Linked DNA regions of Xenopus tropicalis. The protein of the gene in region 2 purifies or fractionates together with the protein of the main gene of each other region. This does not show direct contact. Links are inferred from orthologs where the notes say so. Each region holds a gene or a part of one and is shown on either strand. Other genes may lie near its edges.

Region 1 (5,222 bases), on a different chromosome or scaffold from region 2:
AGGCCAAGCTTAAACTATATGGCCATAAAGAACAGCACATCATCACAAGAACTCCACATCCACAGAGAAGCATGGTGGGGGCAGCATCATGCTTTGAAGCTTCTTTTTGGAACTGTTGCTTTAGTCAAGGAGAATGGAATCATGAATAGCTCTAAGTATCAGTCTATTTTGTCACAAAACCTTTAAGCATTTGCTAGGAAGCTTCAGCATGTCAATAACCCAAAGAAGACATCTAAATCAACAGCTCCACTTAACAATGTTCTGGAATGACCCAGTTAGAGCATAGGAGATGTCTTCGCAATATGACTTTTGCAAGTCCATATGTGCCAAAGTGACTAGTTCAGAGGGTGTGCACACTGTGAGCACACCTAAACTAGACAGTTTTGTAACAAAATAGACTGATACTTGGAGCTATGCCACCTTGTATTTCTTTTCTCCTTTTTTTCACTGTTTCTAATTTGTTTTCAACTACTTTGTATAGACTGCAATTTTGCAATAAAGGTTATTTAGTTAAATAGTTATCAATCCACCCATATATAAGGCAAGTTGTGTTTTTTATATTTTATGTTGCATATGACAAGTATAATTCAAAGATGACAAAACTGCCATTGGGCAGGACAGGTGCCATAAGAATCAATTTGATAGCCACAGGCAGCTGCTAGAAATCCTGGTATAAATTATAATATATTTTAGGGCAATGAAGGACTGGGTAATTTGCAGAACTGCCCCACCATTTACTTGAATAGCCAGGGTCGGACTGGGCCGCCGGGACACCGGGAAAAATCCCGGTGGGCCCCGGCCCTAGTGGGCCCCAGCGGCCCAGTCCGACCTTTGCCGGCGCTCCCCCTACTGACTGTTCCTCCCCGACGCGTTCAATTTATACACGCTCGGGGAGGACGTCAGGCGGGGGCCCTGGGGGGGGGGTTAGGGGACGTGGCTGGTGGGCCCTGCACCCTCCAGTCCGACCCTGTAAATAGCAAGCTCACTTGGGGGTGCCAAAATGTTAGGCCCAAGTGACTTTAATTGCTTAGCTTTTACCCCGGGCTGGTGCCCCTGTTCGGAGAAAACCGCACCAGCCTGGGGTACCTGCGAGCAAGCGTTTGCTCTTCCTTATTTCTTTTGTCTTCGGAATCCCTGGGCCGGCACATGCGCAGTAGAGTGAAAAGCAGACTTTTTTGTTAAAGTTCGACTTTTCACTCTACTGCGAATGCGCAAGCGCGCGAAGACAGGAGCAGGAAGAGGAGGCGCTTGCTCGCAGGTACCCCGGGCTGGTGTGGTTTTCTCCTAACAGGAGCACCAGCCCGGAGTAAAAGGTAAGGCACTAATGACTAAGCCTTTCCTTCTCCTTTAAGCAAGTAGTTGGCATAACTGTCTCTATGTGTGTTTTAGCACAATTCTTAGTACTGTCTATGGCAGAGTATTTTCTGGCGTTCTGTAGCCGTAACGAGTAGCATCGTATTTTATAGCCCTAAGTCCACTGTGAAAGCCATACCATTCCATATAACATATACTGTTTAAAAAGAACACTTTCACAGACTAAGAATTTATGCTCTCATGTTGAAGGTGGGCCCAAAGCACTGAATGAAAGGGGAGGGAAGTACTTTTTCTTTTAGTACTTGCATAGTTACCAGCATTTGAGCCTTTTCTTTCCCCCCACTAACACTATACAAACAATACTGGTTCCTATACACCAAACACCGTCTCCTTGGAAACTGACAACTGTCAGACGCCTTATCCTTAACCCTTTCGGTGGCTGGACTCTATCATTTTACTGCACCATATGTTTCCAGAAAAAATGCAGTGCTGCTTCAAACTAAACAAACCCATAACTGTAGAAACACTGCCACTATGACTACTTTATGCCGTTGTCATGCATTCTATGGTACCAGGTACTTATGAGAAACATTGAAAAAAAAACAAAAAACCCTATTTTACTTATTATTATTAATACAATTGTGAAGCATGAACGTATTCTACAACATTGCACAATAAATGGATATATACATTACGCATACAAAAACACATCCAAAAGCAACCAGTACCCAACACAATACAAGAGGAAAAGAGGGCCCTGCCCAAAAGAGCTCACAATCTTCCACAGCAAACCTTTTGCAATCATTTATGTGAATCATTTTATAGTAATTAGTTTAAGACACATGGGAGGCATTAATATACTAAATTAAATTACAAATATATATATATATATATATATATATATATTACAGTAGGTACAAACAATAGGGATGTCACACTTAGGGGTATATTTATTATGCTGTGTAAAAAGTGGAGTAAGGCATTACCGGCCCAAGCTAACCAATCAGCAAGTCAATTTCAACAGTTATTAAACCGAACAAACTATCTGATTGGCTGCTATGATCAACATCACTGATTGTTGTTGAATATTTCACTCCACTTTTTACACAGTATGATAAATATGCTCCTAAGAGATTATGGGATGAGTTTTACCTGCTGTGCCATATCCCTAACACACTTAGAACATAAGCCTCCAATACATGGGAGTGTAATCTTTATAGGACAGGGACCTCCTCCTGTATCTCTTAACATAAGGAATGCCATCATGTTACTGTGTATATTACTTTATTGCAATACTTGTCCCCCAGCAGAATAACCTTCTGAAGGACAATACCCTGACATCAGAGCCTGGATTTCCCAGCAGCCACAGTAGGAAGTGAGGGGAAATACAAGATAGTGTGATGCCTGATGCTGTTGCAAGGGCTAAGATTGCCCTGAGGTACTAGCACTACAGCTCCCAGCAGGCACAGCCATTTACAATTTACTAGTACTGTATTTTCAACTGCTAGGGGGCTGCAGGTTACACAAACACTACTAACTATTAAAACAGCACAAAACGTATGCCATGCTACATTGTGTCTACTGTAATAGGGGACACACGCCCACTGTATTGTAACAGCAGCCCCCGCAGCTCAAGGAAACCCATCAACTGTACGTACTGCCCAGCTGTCACTGACCCGGAAACCCCCGGACCCAGGTGCTGGGCAGCAGCATAGGCAGTACTTCTACCTGCTACACACAGCCCATACCTGTACGTGTTACACACAGCCCATACCTGTACGTGTTACACACAGCCCATACCTGTACGTGCTACACACAGCCCATACCTGTACGTGCTACACACAGCCCATACCTGTACGTGTTACACACAGCCCATACCTGTACGTGTTACACACAGCCCATACCTGTACGTGTTACACACAGCAAACAGATCGCTCCAACTGCAGCTCAGTGAATCCCCAGGCCGGACCGCAGGGAATGCCAAACAACAACGCGCCGCAGAAACTGTCCCTCACCGTGACTCCGTAGGGGGAAAGTTCTAGACTGGCCGGGAACTTGCAGAGGGGATGAGCAGGGAACGCGTAAGGCCAGAGCGGGGAAATGAAGCAGAGCGGCATCTGCAGGTCAGGAGGAGCAATGACACATTTAGAAGCAAGCTTATAGCTGAATTGACCTGACAACATGCCCTAATAAAGTTCAAGTCGTGTCACATTCACTTTCTGGCTTCTTGTAATGGGATTATATGGCAAAGGAGTGACTAAGGGAGGTGATAACAATAAGTTTGTTGTAAGTCAGTCTTAGAGGCCATTTCCAGGGATACCTTATAGAAGATTGTAAGCTCTTCTTGTAGATTGTAAGCTCTTTTGGGCAGGGCCCTCTTCACCTCTTGTATGGGTTATTGATTGCTTCATATGTTACTCTGTATGTCCAATGTATGTAACCCACTTATTGTACAGCGCTGCGGAATATGTTGGCGCTTTATAAATAAATGTTAATAATAAAAAAAAATAATAGAAGCTTAGGGGAGAAAATAAATATGTTCAGGTCTTAAATACAAAATGAAGGTATAGTGAGCATTTATTTTATAATAGGCTTTGCTTCTTCTTTATATTGTACCTGTGCCTAGGGACTGGCACCTGGAAAAAGTACCAGCCTTCTTATATTTTCAACTTTTTTCCCAGCATCAAGCATCATTTTGCTATCCACTTGTAAAATACTGAATAGGTGGCAACCTACCTGTGCCTCTTATTGCTGGCAGCTTCAATCCTATAGTTGATCCAAGTACATAAGTCTATGGCACACTGCAGATTCTGTCGCAAGTGCACGATTATGTCGGAATGAATTGCGGCAGCATTCATTGTACCGTACAATTCCTTTCTTCTCTATCAGATATAATATTAATGCCAGCCCAGTTTATATGCGCTACTAACCAAATTATTGGTACAAAGCCAAACCAGGTTCTCGGTAAAGTATTTTTATTTTATTATTAGAAGACCCTCCTATTTGTGTCTGTAAATTACTCTCCCATTTAGATTGTAAGCTCTACGGGAGAAGGACCTTCATCCTCTTGTCTCTTAGCTCTGTGGAATTTTTAATGCAACTGTACTTTTTATGTATTTGTATTTATTACTGTACTCTTTATTAATGTAGTGGCTCCCAACTTGTTATTAATTTATTGTTCTGCTGTACAGTGCTGCGTAGCACAATATAAATACAAACATACATACATACTTTACACTTCTAATGAGTTTATATTGTTTCATTTTCACAGTAGTTGCCTCTGAAGACCACCAGATGTCACTGCTGTCTACTGCTCATTTTGTGAAACATTTCTGCAATAAAAGTAAATGCAAGATGGATATTGCTAGCCTATTTAGAAATGTAATAAAACCTTGCTTTATTTCAGTTTGTCTGGGGATGCATTTTGCATACATTTTACTTTTGTGAACCGCTCTGCAGACCACTGAGTGGATCTTCTGCCGATATTGCCACCAGCAATGACGAGCATAGGAGCCGTTGGACCAAGGGCCGCATTAATGAGCCGATCAATACCTGGCCAATTTTCAGCCAGATATCAGTCAGTAAGGCTAATGGTACACAAAGCATATGGCGCACATTTTCGAAAAACGCTTGCCGAAAATACGCTCCTACCTGTGCCTGCACCCGAATGAATTGAATACACTGGGTGCAGGCAAATGTAGCCAATATCCGTATAAAAACGTGAGACTTTGCATTTTCTCTTGGGTTTTTTTGCATATATCAGCTACATGTGCCTGCACCCAAGCATATTCAATTCATTCGGGTGCAGGCACAGGTAGGGGGAGTTTCAAGCATATGGTGCGTATTTTCTGCAAGCATGCGCCATATGCTTCGTGTGGCATGAGCCAAAGCCCCATACACAGGCAGAT
Region 2 (4,073 bases):
ATAAGGATGAATTATTTCTTAGTTGTGATCAAGTACAATGGATTTCTGGATAATAGATCCCATACCTCTATTGATCCTTATGGTAGAAATGTTAGTCTTGTGACCCTGCAAACACTGCTCCATACCACAGGCTCCCAAGCTGTGCATCTGCCACCTAGTGAACAGGGGGGCTCAGCCTATAGGGCAGTTCTTGTAAGACAATGGGGTGAATGCTCCCCCGGATACTCCTTCAACTAAAGGACAGTTAGATTGTTGTTTTATACAGCTGTAATGTTGAACTAAACCTGTGTTATTTTAATTGGTAGTTTAAAGGTTTCTTTTTCATTATGACTGTTTTCAGGTTTCCATTTTATATACTTGACACCTAACAATTTGGCAGATGCTTTAAATGCTTTGCATTTTGGCTGAAAGTTCAATAATCTAAGTAGTAATACGCCCCTGGTGCCCTTTTTTCTCTTATGAATCCAGGCTCACTGAGAACAAGCTGACAGATGAAGCGGCAGAGCACTTTGCCAAGATGGTAAAGGTTAACAAAACCCTCCGGCACCTGTGGTAAGTTATCTCTCAGAGAGGCTCAGTGACTGATGTAAACTTAATTATCTGCTGCTTTTACCATTTACATAGCCATTGCCAGATGTTTCACTAACATATTATGTTCATAAAATGCTGGTGGTTGGGGCTGTATTTAAGCTATACAGAGAACCTGTAATTAACAGGGTTGGCTCTGACCCAATATACTTCTTGGGTGCATAAAATCCACATTTACTTTTGGTTCTGATTTTCAATTTTTTTTGTATCAATAATAACACATTGATGTGTTAAAGAAGAGTGGGACAAAATGCAAAAATGCTGTCTGTTTTGTTATGTTTCTAGGGACACAGAATATATAGGCTTTGCTGAATGACTATATAACTACTCCCTTCTCCAGATTCTACCTAAAGTGGCTCAAGGCTGGTCCTGCCCAGAAAAGGGCATAATAGCAGCTGACCATTGCCAACCCCTCCCTTATGCCAAGTAGCCCAAAAAAGTAAGCACAGTGTTAGAGGTGCAGGGGTACCAACTTGTAGGCATGCCCCAGATATATGAACTCTAAACTGTGTGCTCTACAAACATAAAACCTCTACATTTTGGTTAAAAAGCTTTTGTTCTTTTTTTATTGCTCTCTTTGCAATCACAGCTTCCCAAAGAACTGGAGTGAGCAATATCCAGAATATGTGAAGGCAGTCTCCTGAAATGCAGAATGTAGTCCTGAGTTTGCCCAGCTGGTGGAGCTAGAGCACAGGGCTTCCAATAGACATTGCCTCTACAGACACTGTTGGAATGATACCCTGGTGACTTTGGTGCATGTGGGTACATTATTCACTGTAAGGAGTAAACCCTTTGCACCCAGTTCCACAGGCAGAATAATTTGCTCATGACAACAGCTGATGAAAGGGGGCAAAGTTTATTGGGAGAAAAAACTGGGGGTTTTTGCATCTGGTTTTTGCTCTTTACCTTTAGCAAATGAGCCCTAGTGCCAGTATTCACTTATGTAGATGCATTGTAACAGAAATGAACATTTTAACAGTCAGGGTGGATATATATATATATATCATGTATATATGAGTATTATTGCAGCCATTCTCCTCTGGGTCTCCAGGAACATATTTATAACCTGAAAGGGCCATACTTCTCTACTGGTGCTAACACTCTCCTGCTTTTAGCACCACCAAGACAAATGTCTATCACATTTTAAATAATTTAAAATAATTTGTATTAATTTATATAGTTATTGCCCAACCCATAACTCATAAATTACGTTATATGGGGGGGGGGTCTTCATTGAGGCCACCCTGTGTTTCTTTAGCAGCCTTGTGTTGCACGGAGGAAAGGGTTCCTTTGGTGCTGGAGCTTTACTTTCTTGTTCCTGCTAATGTTCTACACTTGACAGTTATAAACTTAATATGAATAAAGCATGCGGTAATCTGTTTCTGTCAGGCTTGTGAATAATCAGATCACAAATCATGGAGCTGAACTGCTGTCCGAGGCCCTGCAGCACAACACTGTAATGGAGGAGATCTGGTAAGTGCTTATTGTAGGGCCCTCCTTTTATTTGTATTTTATAATGTGCTCCTCATTCATAATCAGGCACCAGGAACACCAGTGGGGTAAAATGTCCCTAAGGTAAATTCATCTCATATTTTGATGTAACAATTTCAGAAGAATTCTTCTCCTGTTCTGCAATGTTTTATTTTCACTGACATGTGGGGAATGCTTCAGCTTCAGTATTTCTTGCCCGCAGTGCTGCTGATTAGCACATAGGCATTGCTTAATAATATATTAGGGATGGCCTCCTGAGCTTCTGTGCTTAGCTAGAAACCTCATAACTGATCCCCACATACTGGTGCCCAATCATTATTGTCAGACATTTTTGTAGAGCAGAGAGGATGCAGAGCTGTGGCAAAGTGTTCACATAGCTTGGGGCTAATTTATTTAACACTGGTCAAATTTGCACCTGGTAGTAACCCATGGCAACTGATGAAAGAGCTGAAGACCTAATGCAGATTCTCCTAGAATATCACTATCTACATTATACTGAGGCAAAACATCCCTTAAAAGGGAAAATGTACCTAATGTTTTTACTTTTAAGGAATACAGTGTGTCTTACCTATAGTCAACCTGCTAGAGCCAGGCTATGCAAAACTGACAGTACTGAACCTGCAGGCAAGAACCGATAGAATATTTAAACTCTTTCTACCTTTGCCTTTCAGTTTACAAGGAAACCCACTCACACTAGGGGAGAATCAACCATTTGAGCAGAACTCCAGGATCTTTTGTATCTGATTAACTTGTGTAAAAGAACAAGAAACTGAGGCCCAAAGACTGTAAGACAAAGGGAATGAAGTGCAGCTGCTTAGTGGGGAAAACCTTGGAGCCGTTGTTGGAATGAACTACAAACTGCATAATATACGCTATATTATTTCTATACAGGGAGTATCAAGCTGTTGAAAAACAAGCAAAGCTCATGCCCTCTGGTTCCAGCCACTGCACATTAAACGTTAAGCCTTTGGGCATTAGATTAAGGGGCAAATGCATCCAAAGCTCAAAATAGATCATGACAAAGTTGACAGTTCTGAATGTGAACTGAATACAGTTGTTAGAACTACAAACCATGATGGGATCAGGTAATAATGGTTGTTACATTAATCATCTGGTAAGTGCTTTTTCATAACAGTATTATTATTTCTTGGGTTGCTGTTACTTGAAGTTTGGGGTAGAGTCCTGCATCAGGTGAGGTACCTGGGGATTACCTACAAAGCAGTCAGTTTCAGGTAGAAAGTTCTCTTATTTCTGTCCTTCCGGGCAGTCTGCGGGTACCCCAGCTATGGTGCAGGAGTGGTCCCTCCTAGCTTCCCCTCACCTAGGTCACAGCTTCCTCTTACCCTTCTGCTCTGGCTCCAGAGTGACGTCACTTCCCTTATACAGTGACATCACTTCCAGTTTCGCGGGTCCCAGGTCAGACCCGTAAAACTGGAAGATAAGGTTTGCAGTCCAGGTAGGGTAGTGGGTCTGGGTAGGGGGACTTATTGGGTGGTGGGTCTGGGGAAATATAGAACAGAGATTTAGCTTGAGTTGCCCTTTATATTGGATTGACGTACTGAGACCATATCCCAGGGCAGTCCTTTCTCATATGTTAATTGAAGTCAAACTCCTTTTTGCTTTATACTGGAAAAGTCAGCTTTCCCTCAAAAGAGTCCCCCACACAATATGATACAAAATATATATGCACCCTCAGCCACTGTGTCGGGCTGATTGCAGGCACATTACGTGGAATTCAGCCCAAATCTGGAGAGCAGTTTTGCACCAAAATCCGCTTCATGTGCTACACCAGATCTAAAGCAGTGGCGCTGGCCGCAGGCACAACAATTACATTATTGACGTGTAAGGGCAGAGCTTCTCTGCTAGTTGAAATATGCTGATAATGCTATAGCCCTAAGTGTCTATGAAGGTTTTCATTCTTTCAGGTCATGACATATCTAATCTAAAGCAACTGGACTTGCTAAGTAACCATTAAAGACGTTTCACTACTCATC
Region 3 (5,253 bases), about 75 Mb from region 2:
GCTTTCGGGCAGTTACAAAAGATCTCTGTGTGGCTCGTTTTAGCTTGAAATTTTCAGAGATCTCTGAACAAGCTGTATTTCCCTGTCCCTCACCATGCATTCAGGAGAAGGCAGCCCAGAAACCCAAGGCCCTTCTGTACGTGTGCGAGAAACTCTCTCGCCTGTTACAGGGAACAGCTGCTTTGTTGTCTATTTCCAGGGGAAAGGGGAAGTTTTGGTTATGGCAGGCCACAAACTGAACAGTACATGCACCCTGAGGAAATTTACAGAAAGATCCCTTATCCTATGTATATATACATATATATATATATATACTGTATATACTGAATCAAACACAACCAGCACCAAGGGTCTTGTGGTTCAAATAAATATTAATGTATTATAATTGCATGTACAACCGACGTTTCGGTCCCTTTTGGGACCTTGAAAAAAAATATATATATATACAGGTATGGGACATGGATGTGTCCAAAATGAGTGGGATCTGGGATTTTCCAGATAAAGGATCTTTCCGTAATTTAGATCCTCATAACTTCCACTAAAAAATCATTTAAACTTTAAATAAACCCAATAGGACTGTTTTGCCTCCAATAAGGATTAATTATATTTAAGTTGGGATGAAATACAAGGTACTGGTTTATTACTATAGAGAAAAAGAAAATCTTGCTTAAAAAGTTGAATTAGTTGGAGTTCCCATTGGAGTCTATGGGAAAGGGTCGTCATGTTATTCTGCACTTTCTGGATAACTGGTTCCTGAATAAGAGATCCCATTCCTGTATAACCATCTTTACTACTCCAACTCTGTACAGCAACTGTGGCTGAATGACGAGCCCCCTGAAGCTGAGCTCTTGCTGGAGAGTATCATTTGAATCCAATCTTTTAGTAACCACTATCCTTTTACTAATTAAAATTGCATGTATGTTTTCCATTTAATGTGGCACTATTGCTGCTGAATTGCCAGGTATGTGGTTCTAATAAAGTATGTGAACTCTGAGCCAGGCACAGCTTGTTTTGCAGCACTTGCTACTTATTTCTCAGGCCTCCTATAAAGTATGTCAATAATCCGGACAGAATAAATATTGACAAAGAGAAAGATAAAGTAATACCTGGTGAGGTATGGTATACAATGACAGGGCTCAGCACCTGCGCTGTCAAATGATGCAAGTGTTATTATGCTCCAGATTATTTTATGGTTAATCACATGAAAAATTGGGTTTGTTGCTCTCTGCCCAGTTCGTCGGGTTTAAAAATCCAGCAATCTGCGCAAAGAAGTTGCATCAGGCTCAGCCCTGTCCTCAGTAAGTACAACCCCCCAATGTGGGCTGTGCCTCCTTCTGCTCCCTAATTTGAGCATGAAATGGAGTGCATGTTGGGGGTGGGAGCTGCCTCTTTTGAATCTAAAGTGGCCTAACGCAGGCAGCACTAGATTCAAACAGCAGTCCCCAGGTCTTTGGCTAGAAAGTGGAGCACAGAAGCATGCAGCTATTGGGCAAAGTGCAAAAAAATGGTCTTTTTCACACTTTGCACGCTGCATGGGGCATTGAAAATGACCCCTCAGTTTTTTCCAATTGAACTGAATGTGGCTTAATGGGAAAATATGGAACTGAAGTAGGAAGAGAAACTTTTCTCATCAAATTGAATCTGGCTCCAGCTGTCTGGGGGGATGCTGGGAGTTGTATATCAACAACAGCTGAAGGGCCACAGGCTGGGCATTCCTGATTTGTGGTCCCTTAGTGGACTCCCATAGTGGAGATGGTGCCCCTTTCGCTGTTATAAAAGTAATTAGCGTGTGATTTTTTTGGGCACAAGTCACCCCTCTTGATGCAGACTGCTATAAGAATCCTGGAATTAACCCATGTTTAAGGTGGCAGAAGGTCCTGGGCTTCCTTTAACGAATGGGGGCTCAGCGCTATGCGCTATGCAGAAGTGCAAGGAGCAGGTGCCATGTGAGTAATGCAAGTGCCACTGTAGTCACGTGGAAGTGCAATTTCCTCAGCAGAATGGCTGCTACTTGTGGGGCAAGGTGCAAAAGGGTTTCCGTTTTTTGTACTTTCCCTATTGCCCCACAAAATAAGCTCTCAAATATAAAGTCTACCAGACAGATGGCAGAATCTAGTGCACCCTTTGTGCTGTTCCTTTTCTCACTTCCTCCCCTTCCCTCCCCCAGGGCCTGTCGCTACCAGGAAGGAGTGTGGCTCAGGCAGCCGGGGCTGCTGTGGTACAAAGGTGTGCAGCAGCAGCAGCAGCAGCAGCTCCTCTCAGCAATGACTGACTCCCAGCAATGACTGACTCTCAGCAATGACTGACTCCCAGCAATGACTGACGCTCAGCGTGCAACTCATCCCGTAGCTTCTTCCTCTTATTTGCCAATATTCTTTTAATGCCAAACTTTTTTCTAGGAAAGTTTGTGGGTGGGAGAACTGGAACTTCTGCTTTACTTTTCTTTCACTTTCACCTAGTGGAAAGGGAGCTGCGGCAGAAACAAGCTGGGGAGGCGGGCTGCCCTCTCCTTCCGGGAAAAGCAAACATACTTTTATATTCTGTGCTGTAGTCGTTCCGGCAGCCCTTCCCTGGCTTCTGATAGTTACGGAGAGACAGAATGAGCAGCGGCGATGGCAGCCGGGGATCTGCGTCCACTTATCCATCGGGCACTCGCTATTCTCTAAACCTTGAAGAAGGTATAAGCGTTCCGGCTGCCAGTATCAGCAGTTCCCTGCAGTGCATCCCATATCAGAAACTCACAGACCTGAAGTTCATTAATAAAGGAGCTTATGGGACCGTACACAGTGCTTGCCACTCTGATTGGAGGGTGAGAGTTGCTGTGAAGTTCTTCCCGACAGAGCGCCATCTGGTGGAGAGGTGAGTGACTAAACTGTGAGCTTGCGGTGGGCACTAATATTCAGTTATTTGTATTATTTGCTAGTGCTACATGGCAGTCAACATGCAGTATTCCATATAGGTAGTTAAACCCATGTATAGAAATTTCACTCTGTGCAATATCATTTTTTTATATGTGGGTGTGTGTTTTAACAGCCCTCCAAAGCCCTCAGCAAATAAAATGAAGGCATGTAGGAATGTTTATGAAGGATTCCATGTAGATCCAAGGGTGGGAACATTACATTACACTATAGCCATAATTTACATTTGATACAAGTGCTAGGGCACTAAGGGGGAATGATTTGCTCCTCCATAAAGCACTTGTGCCAAATACCATGTTTGGTTAATGTTGCAAGTGAAAGTTAGTGCAGAACTACTGCAGGAATCAGTGGGTAAAAAAACAACATATTTGTAATATATATCTCACTGACATAAGAAAACAGTGACGTGTAAAATGTTGGGCCCTCTTCCATTTGTCCAGTTATAAAAACTGTTTTTGCAAGGTCCCTGGCCCAATATACCTTATTGGACCTAAATATTTATTAGGAATTGTGTCACTTTTTGACAACCGCAGAACTAAAGAGACCCAACAACCATGGGCTCCTCTAAGCTATTGAGTAAGGATGTGAAAATGAAGCTGACGCCTACAAAGCAGGGAAATGCTATCAAACGATTGCAAAATGCTTCCAGCTCACGATTTCTGTAATGTCAAGAAATTGTAGTTTAAGGGGAACTGTGGAAGGCAAAACCGAATCTGGAAGACCAAGACAGCTTTCAGAAAGTACTGCTTGTATACTGGCCAGAATGTCAACACCAAACCCTCATATGACCGCAAAGAACCTGCAGGAAGGTTTGGCCAATCCAGTAGTTGCACTGTTCCACAGTTCAACATTGAACCCACCCCCCCCAGTAACTGTCCTTTAAGCTGAAAAAAAGCACCTTATAAAAGAAAAAAATCCAAACTATTTGGTGAATTTGCCATTTAAAATCAACGCCAGCTTTCATTTCTCCCATATATGCAAACTATTGGCAGGAATAAACATATAACAAACTGAACAGGGGTTTTCCAGCATTCAGCAACATAAAACTTTTTCATGCCTTATTTCACTTTTTTTTCAGCATTTCCCGACCACTTTCTGAATCATCCTCAGGCCTAAAGGACTTTGGGGAAGCAGGACTGTTTGTTTTGCCCATGCTGGTTAAACAGTTACTGTATACAGGCAGTTATCTTTATGTGTCAGTCTTCATTCCTCAGCATAACAGTCATTCCATGAGGCCGGTTATCACCAGCTTTGTTTTTTCTTAAACGCTGACTGTCACATTTCTTAGCCTTGCCCATGTGTTCAACCACAGATTCAAGCAATTGCCATTGAATCCAGTCGGGTGCAATTCCAGGTAATTTATCACACCCCCAGAGCTATTAAACATGCTATTAAAATAAATCACGCACACAGATCTTGTGCATGTCCCACCTGTATGACACCTTCAAGATCCCTAGTGCAACTTCCATGCTAAAGGACACAAATTTTGTATCGACATTGGTGGAAAGGTATTTTCAGGGAGAAAAGCTGCATTGTGGGAAACATGGTTAATTGTGCTTATCTTTTGCACTCACTTTTTGCACTTACTCTGGGACCCCTTATCCGGAAACCCATTATCCAGAAAGTTCCGAATTACGGAAAGCCCATCTCCCATAGACTCAATTTTAATCAAATAATTCACATTATTAAAAATGGTTTCCTTTTTTCTCTGTAATAATAAAACAGTACCTTGTACGTGATCCCAACTAAGAGCCAAAACAATACTACTGGGTTTAAATACTGTTGAAATAATTTTCTTAGTAGACTTAAGGTAGGAGACCTGAATTATGGAAGACCCTTATCTGGAAATCCCCAGGTCCCGAGCATTCTGGATAATGGGTCCCATACCTGTATATCAAAGTAATAAAAATATAATGTACTGTTGTCCTGCACTGGTAAAGCTGATGTGTTTGCTTCAGGGAGACTACTATAGTTTATATAAATACTCTGCTGTGTAGCCATGGCGGCAGCCATTCAAGTGGGAAAAGAAGAAAAGGCACAGGTTACATAGCAGACAACAGATAAGCTCTGTAAAATACTATGGTGTTTACAGAGCTTATCTGCTATGCAACCTGTGCCAAATAGCTGTATTTCAGTTTGAATGGCTGCCCTGATGGCTACACATCAGCTTAGTTTATATAAACTAAAGTCATCTTTCTGAAGCAAACACTCCTCTTATACCAGTGCAGGGCAATAGTACATTATATTTGAATTACTTTGATACACTTTCATTTTTTGGTGTTACTGGTCCTTTAACGTCCTGACTGTTTGGCATGTGGCAGTGCAAAATTGAGTA

What was found.
Region 1: the proteins of nod1 (region 2) and sugt1 purify together in Homo sapiens (affinity purification with western blotting; 3 studies listed by BioGRID and IntAct, with this or other methods). This does not show direct contact. The link is inferred for Xenopus tropicalis from reciprocal best matches to the Homo sapiens genes NOD1 and SUGT1.
Region 3: the proteins of nod1 (region 2) and ripk2 purify together in Homo sapiens (affinity purification with western blotting; 4 studies listed by BioGRID and IntAct, with this or other methods). This does not show direct contact. The link is inferred for Xenopus tropicalis from reciprocal best matches to the Homo sapiens genes NOD1 and RIPK2.

Annotation. Positions count from the first base shown.
Region 1 is NC_030678.2:132,229,612-132,234,833, forward strand, and holds the start of sugt1 (protein SGT1 homolog), read right to left. Parts: upstream 3,098-5,222; 5' UTR 3,063-3,097; intron 1-3,062. UniProt on the Homo sapiens protein: May play a role in ubiquitination and subsequent proteasomal degradation of target proteins.
Region 2 is NC_030682.2:51,348,600-51,352,672, forward strand, and holds the end of nod1 (nucleotide-binding oligomerization domain-containing protein 1), read left to right. Parts: intron 1-468; coding exon 469-552; intron 553-1,977; coding exon 1,978-2,061; intron 2,062-2,750; coding exon 2,751-2,823; 3' UTR 2,824-3,186; downstream 3,187-4,073. UniProt on the Homo sapiens protein: Pattern recognition receptor (PRR) that detects bacterial peptidoglycan fragments and other danger signals and thus participates in both innate and adaptive immune responses.
Region 3 is NC_030682.2:126,031,485-126,036,737, forward strand, and holds the start of ripk2 (receptor-interacting serine/threonine-protein kinase 2), read left to right. Parts: upstream 1-2,156; 5' UTR 2,157-2,599; coding exon 2,600-2,859; intron 2,860-3,996; exon of another isoform or gene 3,997-4,272; intron 4,273-5,253.